Linked DNA regions of Drosophila melanogaster. The protein of the gene in region 1 interacts with the protein of each later gene in a pairwise test. Each region holds a gene or a part of one and is shown in the gene's direction. Other genes may lie near its edges.

Region 1 (4,672 bases):
TCTAGGAAACGCTCAGCCAAGATCCACGTTGGGGATCCCGAAAAGTGTTCGGGAAGACGCTAGTCAGGTAGTTATTATTTACGACAAATATTTATGTGGTCATTAATAAACAATTTATTGTTCCTAAACAGTTCGTTAATCTCAACACAACAGTGTGTATGCCAGCACCAAGGACGAATGCCAAGAAAAAACCAGGGACTTCGGGCCCTTTAAAGTCGATGAATTCTTCACCAGCTGTGCAGAAACCGGCGCTGTGCAAACAGCAGACGGCGCCGGCAAGAACTCTGTCCAAGAGCACAGTCTCATCCGTTGCACGAGCGAAATCAACAGGGTCTTTAAGTGCAGTGTTGGGTGAGACTCCTGCTGACGAATTCGTATCCCCCGCCGGAATGAGTCTGAGTACCACCGGAAATCCGAATGTCTTCATCATTAACCACGCGGTGCAGTCAGAGGAAAGCATCCTGCCTGACTCCAACAGCAGCGTAGGGCACATGGAAACGACGGTGATCAAAGGCGAGCTGGATGATTCTGCGGAGATTATTATATAGCAGGGCAAAGACTATAAACCAGTTGGAAAGTATTCTAAGTTACTTTAGCACAGTTAATTAAGAGTTAATTATTTCGTTGAACGCAAAATCATAATTTTGTAATTCTGAAATGAAGAATTTGTTAAACCTTACGCAGCATCGTCATTTTTTTTTTTTTTTTTTGAAATAAATGGTTAAATATTTTATTCAGTGTGGGACTTTCAAGTAAATATCTTATAGTTATCATTGCATATTTATTAAGTATCCAAATAAAATATAAATATAAACATTCTAACATTTTTTTATATAAGCCGAAACGCATAAATCGTGTAAAATAAGAAATAAGAAAAATTACATTTCGTTCGAAGCTTTTGGAGCCATTGGCGAAATCTTAAAGCTCTTGTGAAATATTACAGAGCGATAAGTATAAAAGTTGCGCAGGGGAAAAACCGTTTCTATTAACAACAAATTTTTCAAGATGACAACATCTGCTGTTGAAGCTCCCAATAGTAAGTTTAGTTAAAACTTTACAGAGGCATATTATAATGATGCACATATGTATATAATAATCTACAGGTGCATATCCCGATTTAGAAAAGCGACTGGAAAGGTATTTGCGAAGTGTGTTTTGCCTAAAGGAAATCGATACTAAAAATGAGTACATTCCAACCGAAGTGGAGTACTTTGGAGTTCTGAGTTTAAGCGATGTTCGAGCGCCTCGCCGAAAACTGTGGTACATGTACTATGCGACAACAGATCAGGTGGACAAAACTGTGGATCAGATCCATCGTAAATATGGCCAAAAGAATATGTACGAGCTGTTCAGAAAACCGGTATATACAGGGGCTGGAATGCGATCCCGTGTTAAGAACCACTTTAAAGGGCTTAAGTGGCACGTAAAAGGAAACATTTTGGAAGCCCCGCTAGGTAGCTCCCTTAATGATGAGAAAGTGGTTAACACAATTGCAGATTTATATCAGAACGAAAGGAGAAGATACTTCGATTACCTTATGTCTAGGAGTAATCTGTATAAATCGTGTACATATCGAAACATAAATGCATAAAATATTTTCATTTATGTATAAGACTTTCTAGAATAAAGCTTTAAAATAATAAATGCCAATAAATGCTAACCAGTATTCTTTTAACGCTTGTTGAGGTAGGAAGGCAAAATTGCCGCACACTTATCAATGGGCAAAGCCTATGAATCACCTTAAGTTTTCATCTGATTATATTTCTTAATAGCAGGGAATATTAGCAACATGGACGATAAATTGGAAAAGTACTGGAGACGTCTATTTTATATGAAGTCAGTTGCAGAACCTACGTCGTTGGATGCTGATACGATAGAATATTTCGGAATATTCAGTATTGACGAACCAAATGTCGCTGCCCAAAAACGGTGGTACATTTATTATGGCCTTAGATTAGAAAGGTTAAAGGTTCTGGAAAGGATTCGAAAGAAATATGGCAATAGGAATGTCAGAGAAATATTTCAGATCGCCACATTCAGCGGAGTGGGATTTCATAAAGTCGTCAGAGAATATTTCTCCAACTTAAAATGGTTCACAAGCAGAAATCAATTGGAAGCTCCACTAAATAGTTATTATAATGATGAAAGACTAGTGAAAACTGTTTCGGACTTGCATAACAAGGAGCAAAAAAGAATCTTTGACTATATAATGATACAACACGCCTGGTTTGAGCGGTATAATGATCAAAAACCACCTCCTGCTAAACATTAAACTAACTAAAAACATCGACTTACAGTCGACATCTGTTGACTAAAAGCGGCATGTGTATTTGTTGATAGGGGGTATTATTATACATTTTACAACCTATTGGTCAAGTTAAATGATTTATAAAAATATGTCGAATAAAATATATACACACACAAGTAGCTTGCGGTTATAATATAGTAGTACATAATAGTATATACCTTGGAGTCTAAAGACACAGTCATCCGATCATCCTAATCAACAAACATAAACACCCTAGTTGTCTGCATTAATAGGTATTAAAAAGAAACAAGCGCATTAAAAGCTCACTGTTTTTTGATAGGCCACAGGGTTGCTTCAAAAAGCTCTTTTGTTGTGAAATTGGAAATCGTAAACAAAACGAAACAAACTTTATACAAATCAGTTGAAATCGTATTTGTTGGGTATTTAATAAGAGTGCGTAGGAAGTTAACACGCATTCAGAAGTCAGAGAAGCAAGAGTCACCTCGTTATTAAAATATGACAACGAATTCAGTAACTGATAAGAACACGGGTAATTAAAACGGCAAATTATTTATTTGGAACATCAACGATGATTAACAACCGATTCGCAGAAGGAGATTACAACCTGGATGAGGAAATCGACAGCCATTTGAGAAAATTGTTCTGTCTAAAACCAAAAGCTGAAACACCCAAACTCAATCCCTACATAGTAGAATTCTTTGGAGTTCTTAGCTTGACAGATCTCCGTGCCCCACAAAGAAAACTATGGGTCATATATCACGCCAAGCAGCCTGATCTGGACAAGACCGTTGATGAGATCCACGAGAAGTATGGCAAGAAGAATATGTTTGATCTGTACCGCACACCAGTTTTCAGTGGAGTTGCTCTGCGGGACAGTGTGAGAAAGCACTTCTCGAACCTAAAGTGGTTTACGACGGGAAATCTCCTGGAAGCCCCACCTAAAAGCCACTTCAACGACGAGCGAGTGGTGAAAACCATCACGGATCTGCATCATCTGGAACACCAGAGACTATATAATTATGTGATGGTGAAGAATATGTGGTCTATGCGGTATCGCTAAACTAACCTGTGATTTAGGATTAAATTTGTATATGACTATCTAAAAGCAAGAATAATAAATTGTACTATTACAAAATCCATATAACATAATGGTTTGCTAACCAATCAAATAGTATTGTTTTCTTGTAGTACAAATTTTGTTTATTTTCCTATATTTCGTTGAATAAAGTACATAATAATTATGCTGATTTAATTTGTTAAATATATTCGATAACATTAAATAAATTCCGCTTGTGTTTTTTTTTTCTAAATGGATGACAACGCCGCATAAGGGTTAAAGTGCCAATCGATAACGCACGTCCTCACCTATCGCCACCCCTGTTGAAGCGTGCGTCTTTCTAAACGCAGACAGAATAAATAAAACCTGCCAAAGGCTATCAATTAATTGGTAAACACTGATTGGGTGTGCAATATAGCAGGGAATCAAACCCTCAAAAATGGTAAGAACGGCAATCCAAATAGTGTGCACCCATTCATCTTCTTTTTTCGCCACCATTGCTCCGATAAGCGAAGTTTCGATAGGTAAGCAAAAAGCCAATGGATCGGGAGCCACTCAGTAGCGGGCGTCTCCATTGCAGCGCCAGATATAAACACAAGCGATCGGCGTCATCATCGTCAGCGGGGACAACTTCATCCGGACACAAGGACCGCAGGTAAATGTGTACACACATATGTGAGACGACCCTAAACGATACCTCTTTTGACATGAAGCATCGAGTAGTTTTGACTGGCAGTTTGGAAAAAAGGTTCAACTGTCATAGGGCCCTTTCATTTGGATTTGCCCCCTCAGCCGATTCAGCTGGTGCTCTTGCCAAGAAAGTTAAAACCAAAAATCATTCAAGCCGATTTCATTTCATTGGAAGAAACCAACCAACCAACCAACCAACCAACGAACATCACTATGTAAGAACCCACCGAAGCAATCATTTTCATTCTACGTCCAACTACCAAAGAATTTGGCCGAAAGAGGTCGAACCCAACCGTAGCATTTGTCAAGTCACACAAATTTTCCAACTGTCAGTTACCAAGGCGTGCAAGAACCACCCGAAATCCACACGAAATACAAAACTTTTCAAGACCCTCAAGAACGAACCGCAAGATAATCTTATTTCATTCCATTCCACATCGAATCAAGGTCTGACTACGATTACTGTGGCAGTCGCCGGCACCAGCGGTCCTCCTCTCGCCGACGCTCCCGTTCGCGTTCCTCCTCGGAGTCGCCGCCACCGGAGCCGCGTCATCGCTCCGGACGTTCATCACGCGATCGCGAACGAATGCACAAGTCTCGCGTAAGCCATTCTGCCGATTAATGCCTCCTTTCAATCCTAAAGATCTTCGGCGTTT
Region 2 (5,849 bases), 7.1 Mb from region 1:
AGAGCTGGGCCTTTTCTTGGCATCGCCGCTAAGATCCAGGGACTTGACCACCTTGAGCAGTCCATTGCAGCCCGTGTAGTCGACCACCTGCTGCGTGGAGCTGCTGCCCAGGTAGATCCTTCCGTCGTTACCCGTGTACTTGAGGGCTCCGCTATTGTTCTGGATCTTGAGTCTGGTGCTATTGCCGATTACTTGCAGTTGCCCGGAGTTGTTCACAATCCGTATGCGGTTGCCATTGCCGATGATCCTGAGATCGCGCGTGTTGTTCTCAATGCGGTACTCCTTGCAGTTGCCCACCAGATCCTTGCTGGCGTAGATGGTTGTCTCCGGCGGCGTGGAACTTTTCTTGCTCTTATTGGGGGATTTACCCTGCTCGTGCTCTTTCTGGCAAGTGGAGCACTCGTCATCGTCATACGAATCGCTCGCCGAATCGGTTTCTATCACACGAACGCCCATTTTGGTGTGAATTACCGCCGGTATCGTTTCTTTCCGCTGCTAATCACTCGTAAAAATCACCGTCCAGTCTGTCGGTTAGCTCATTCTCCAACTCTTTTTCCTATCTCTATCTCCGTCTCTGTCGCTGGGGGAAGACTCCGAATGATGAGCAATCCGGATGGCTAAGGTCAAAGATATCCAATTGTGTGTGTTGTTTTTGTATTCAATTCAGCGCTGGGGGATCGTCTGCTTCCGCCAGGGGAACTCCCTCTGTTTTCTGAACTTTTATTGTGCGTTGAGTTTGGCGATCTCTGGTATCGCTTTCGCCGTGCTTACTGCTCGCTCGCTCGCTGGCACTTTGGCTATTGAACGCTAATGCCGCTCGGGAACCGCTTTTATATCCGCCGGAGAGTCTAGCGCCGGGGCTTTTTTATTTCGCCCGAGGGCCGGCACGAAAATCACCTCGTATGCATGAGAGTCGCGAACTTAAAGGCATCTCGCCATCTGGGGAGACCTTTGATTGGGTCGCCGAATTTATTCGGCATGAGTAATGTCCACCTGTTGGTGCCCTCGCAATGGGCTCGTCCATCGACTTGAGCTAGCCAAATCTTCAGCATATAGTAATAAAGTTTAAATATATATTTAGTTAACAGCACCAGTAAATTCAAACATTATTACTGTATCTTATCGTTTTATAGTTTCTCCTAAAATGATGTGCTTATAGTCTTATCCCTAATAGTAATGGGTGTTATTCGGGTCTTGACCCATCAAAGTGGAATTTATTTACTTACGCATTGTAACTTTTCGCTGTGTAGACTGTTATCAACTTATGCAGTACAGACCCAACTTTGATGGGGATTTTTGTTAACTTCTCTTATCATTAATAAGTCCACTGATATAGTTGCTGATTTCCATTTTTGGGAGTCGTAAACGCGGAGTCAAAAACCCACCAACCCCAACCTAAAGGGGTAATAACCGACGATAACCGATGATAAAGTTTTAAGCACTAGAAATTGATAAATATTTACGCAGTTGCCAAGTGAGATCTGTGAAACGGAGGCAATGATTTCCTCTAGATGCTTCACGAGCCTGTTTGTTTACAAACAAAAAAATCTCACCCGTAATTTGCACAATCGACTTCATTGGCATTCGATTTAATTTACATATGTTTACTTATATATATATCCCGAAAGCTTCCGATTCTCGATCTTGTCATTTTCTGCGATCGTTCCAAGCTGAGTTGCCAGTTCAAGTGACCAGCTCAGTCGGTTGGGAAGCCTGGAGCTGAGCAAAGCCCGGCCAAGTCAAGCATACATATGTATCTAGATCGCCAGCTGAATAAACACGCTAGCATCTAAACAGTTGGCCCAATAATGTTTACTCGTGCGGGGAAAGCACCGCAGCTATGGGGCTACAAATGAAAGGGGTGTATTGCCGAGAAGGTCGTTTTTTATTATTTTCAAGGTGCATTCACTGTTGACAAATCAATTATCTATTGCGGAAAATTATAAAATGATTTATTTGCCAGATCGCTGTTTTGGGCCAGTAAACGGGGACTTTTTTTGCAGCTATCTCAAGTGTGCTCGCCAAGCAAAAGCAAAAGTTCAAGAAAAGCTATAATCGTATGAAGCCTTGTTCGGTGTGAAGGCGTTATAACGGCAAATCGTGTGTATTATCAGATATGACACGGCGCAGTTACAGCGCACACAAATGGAGAAATTGTGCGAGCCCAGGAAAAAACCCCCTCGATCACAACCCATAACCCATCAAAACTGTTACCACCTGCAGCCACTATCTAGCACGCGTCTAATACCGGTACTAAAGCCCCACCGACCAAAAAATCACCGATGCCAGATGTTTTATCTTTCATTAAGATCGAGGCGTTGCTTTGTTGTGTTTCATGTTCTGGATCGAAATAAGTGAACGTTATGTACTTGTTCTGACAGATACTTTAATACTTTTGATGGGGTGTTAAAAGCATTAATATTGCATATGTGTCAGATAACAAGATAATGCATTTATTATTAATGTCAAATATTTTAAATAGCCAATGCAGTTAAAAATCTAAATTATTTTTTATTTAAATTGTTTATAAAATGTATAAATTTAGAAATGTATAATCAGCTAATTGATTAAATTAGTATTGTAATGGTAGGTCCACTCCAAAATGAAATCGTTGCCATTCACACCGATTTTTAAACAAACAACGTTTATAAACAAAATCATGTCATCTCTAATAGTTCGTAAAGTAAATATATAAAATAGCAAATAGGTAAATGTGAAAATTTGTGATCTATTTAACATCTAAAATTTGAAGTCAAATTTTTAGGGACATAGAAACAGAGTCAAGCGACATTATATTAATTAATGTAGTCGTTATTTAAAAGAAATTAAATGAAGTAGATATATTTAGATTTTAAGTACACTCTTAAGAACCACCCTAACATATGTTACTAACCATTCACAGTTTGTTATAAACAAAAAGAACCCATCTCTATTGACGTGAGCTTTTATTGGTGCTTATTTCATAAGTAAGCAAATAAAAAGCGCTCCCATAACGAAATCATACTTTAGTGTACAACACCAACGCCAATCGGTAGTAGGAATATAAACAATTATGAATAACAACTCGAATGTTTTGACTATTGGCACTGAGAGCACTGGAGATTTCGAAAGCACAAAAACACGCAATGAGTATTCTGTGTCTGATTTTGAGAAGCACTTACAGAAAATTTTACTGAATGGCGGCAAGCCTTTGACAAATGTTTGTGATGAAGGATCCGTCGAAAGATTTGCGGCGAAAGAAATCAAGAAGAACGGATACTACTACGAGTTCGGTCCGGCTGATAAGATAAATGGCTGGATGATAAGCGGACCCACTTTTGACTCCAAGGGTATTCTGGGACGATTAAAGAATGTGATTGGCAAGGAGCACTGGATATCCAAAAACGTTGCTAAGTATCCGAAGGATTCGAGGAACTTCATAATCAAAACTGTTTCCAACGCTTTGGATCAAGAAAGATCAGATATTTACTCATATTTGTGTTATCTAAATGAAAACACTAAGAGGAGGTGAAGAGGAGGTGGTTTGTTTGCCATTCACCGTTGTTCCCATTGTTTATAAACAAAATCAACCCATCACTAATTTAGAGCTTTGAGGAAACTTGTACCCGAAATGATTTCATTAGTAAATAAATAAAACAACACAAACGGGCATTATTAATACTAAAGCAGGTGAGCTGAAAGAGTTTCATGCTAGGATATTCCACTTACGAAGTATCTTTTAGATTCAAAAATGACGTCAACAACAAACGTTTTAAGTATTGGAAATGAAACCGAGGAACTATATTACAAGGTACAGAAAACAAGCAACCCTAAGGCATATTTTGAGTTCGAGTTTGAGAACCACATGCGAAAATTACTGCTCAATGGCGAAAAACCCAAGGATCTGGATGAAAAGTCCATCGGAAGATTTGCAGCCACTGAGATAACGAGAAATGGCAAGCAGTACTATGAGTTCGTTCCTGACGGATACAAAATTGGAGTCATCATCAGTGGATGCTCATTTCTGCCCAAAGACATGGTCTTCCGCGTGAAAAAGAAGATTGCCAAAGAACACTGGGTTAACGAAAATGTAATTCAATATAAAAAGAATTCAATGCGCCACATACAGGGTATCGTATCCGAATGCTTGCAGGAAGAGTGCAATGATATCTACCAATATCTATGTTATCTGAGACAAAATGATCCCAACAAGTAAAATAAACATGTAATATATAACTTATAGATTTAAAGTTTCATATAACATATTGTAATTAGCTTTAAGTGAGGTCGAATAACTATCTGCCATTTGAAGAAAATAACTGACTCAATTTCACCATAATTTCAAAATATTTGTTATTTTTTACCAGATACATATAAAAAATAAAGGTGACTAATGCTAAGCTTGTCATATTTCAACAATCCAACTATCAATTCATTTGAGTTTCAGTAACCGCATAGATTTTGAGAAAGAAAGTTCGAATTTTTTGTAAAATACTAATAGAGTGTACTAATACTAATAGAAAAGGAAGTTCAAGAAAAAAGTTCGAGTACTTCTAAAACTTGTCAAACACGTGTGCCTAATATTTCCGGAAAAGTGGAGTCAAGCCAAAGCGTTTCCTGTCTTGAAAATAAAATTCTATCGGTTTCTGATCTACCAGTAAAAAGCCCAAAATCATTTCCTATTATAATGGGTAGAATACTATTGAGATCTAATTGTCCGCCGGAACCCGTAATAAAAGTGAATCTAACCGACTTTGAGCAGAATCTGTGCTTCTTGTGCATGGAGAAACCATCGTTGGGAAAGCGAGTGTATCACATGTTCGTCACAAATGAAATGGATATTGAAAAGGACTATCTGAAAGTGCGAAAAACCTACGAGAAAAGAAAGGACATCGTAGTCGTGGACCAGCTAACACTGTACACCCTTTGTGCACGATCCTTGTACCACAGAGTTCAGAATAAGTTAACAGATGTTAAGTGGAATAAGCAGCGAAATGTTTTTGAGATGAAAAAGATTGGACTAAAGGACAATTTGAACCTTTGGAACAAGTTGTATGCGCTGGAAAACGCAGAGAGGGCAAAGCTATTTAACTATACTAAGTTCCTAAGCGCAACGAATGAATAAATTGATATTTGTTTTCATATCCCTTTTACTTTAAATGGTATTATTCGATTTAAAAATTTGTGACCTGCATCAGCAGGTCCACCCTAATCAATAAACATATGGTTGCCATTCTCTGGAACACTTTCATTATCAAGCTCACCACTAATATTGTGCTTTGCTTGTGAACTTTTATGTTGTGAAATAGCTGAGTATTTCGAATCTTTACAAAACAATCCATCTATTTAACTAGTGGCCTCTGACCAACACAACTCAGTATTAGCATAAACATTAAAAGGGACACATTACAAAATTCTAAAAATTATAACCATGGAATCTGAAGCTCAAGAACGTACTGCACCTGTATCTGCAAACAAAAGTGATTCATCAGCGGCACCTGTGCTCAATATATCCGGAAGGGTCAAGTCAGAATGGAATACACCCCGTATTAGGGGCAAAAAGAAGCCGCCGGCTGTCTTGGAAGCACCCAAAGTGAATCCGCACACATTTCCAGCGATATTAAGCAGGATTCTACTGAAGACCAATGCTCCGCCTGCAGCTCCACCGAAGTTTAATCCAGCCGACGGCACACAGTACCTTTGCTTCCTGTGCCTCGAGAAGCCGGAGAGTCGAAAGCGCGTCTATCACATGTTCATCACGACTGAAAAGGAGCTGGGAAGCGACTACGCGCACACCAGGAAGTTGTACGAGAATCGCAAGGAATTCATATACACCAATAATATATCCGTGGAAACAGTCTGTGCACGAG

The links. The genes of interacting proteins can lie anywhere in the genome.
Region 2: the proteins of CG12868 (region 1) and CG42362 interact in a two-hybrid assay, tested with the Drosophila melanogaster proteins (one large-scale study listed by BioGRID).

Annotation. Positions count from the first base shown.
Region 1 is NT_033778.4:14,603,293-14,607,964, reverse strand, and holds CG12868 (uncharacterized protein), read left to right. Parts: upstream 1-2,667; 5' UTR 2,668-2,764; coding exon 2,765-2,798; intron 2,799-2,859; coding exon 2,860-3,329; 3' UTR 3,330-3,416; downstream 3,417-4,672. Other genes in the region: Su(var)2-HP2, read left to right, coding at 1-67, 132-548; CG33468 (uncharacterized protein), read left to right, coding at 1,006-1,036, 1,104-1,591; CG33469 (uncharacterized protein), read left to right, coding at 1,790-2,272; tra2 (transformer 2), read left to right, coding at 3,866-3,981, 4,464-4,617.
Region 2 is NT_033778.4:21,661,462-21,667,310, forward strand, and holds CG42362 (uncharacterized protein), read left to right. Parts: upstream 1-2,664; 5' UTR 2,665-3,052; coding exon 3,053-3,511; 3' UTR 3,512-3,669; intron 3,670-3,722; 3' UTR 3,723-3,730; coding exon of another isoform or gene 3,731-4,195; 3' UTR 4,196-4,495; downstream 4,496-5,849. Other genes in the region: pirk (poor Imd response upon knock-in), read right to left, coding at 1-456; CG42363 (uncharacterized protein), read left to right, coding at 3,731-4,195; CG42365 (uncharacterized protein), read left to right, coding at 5,411-5,849.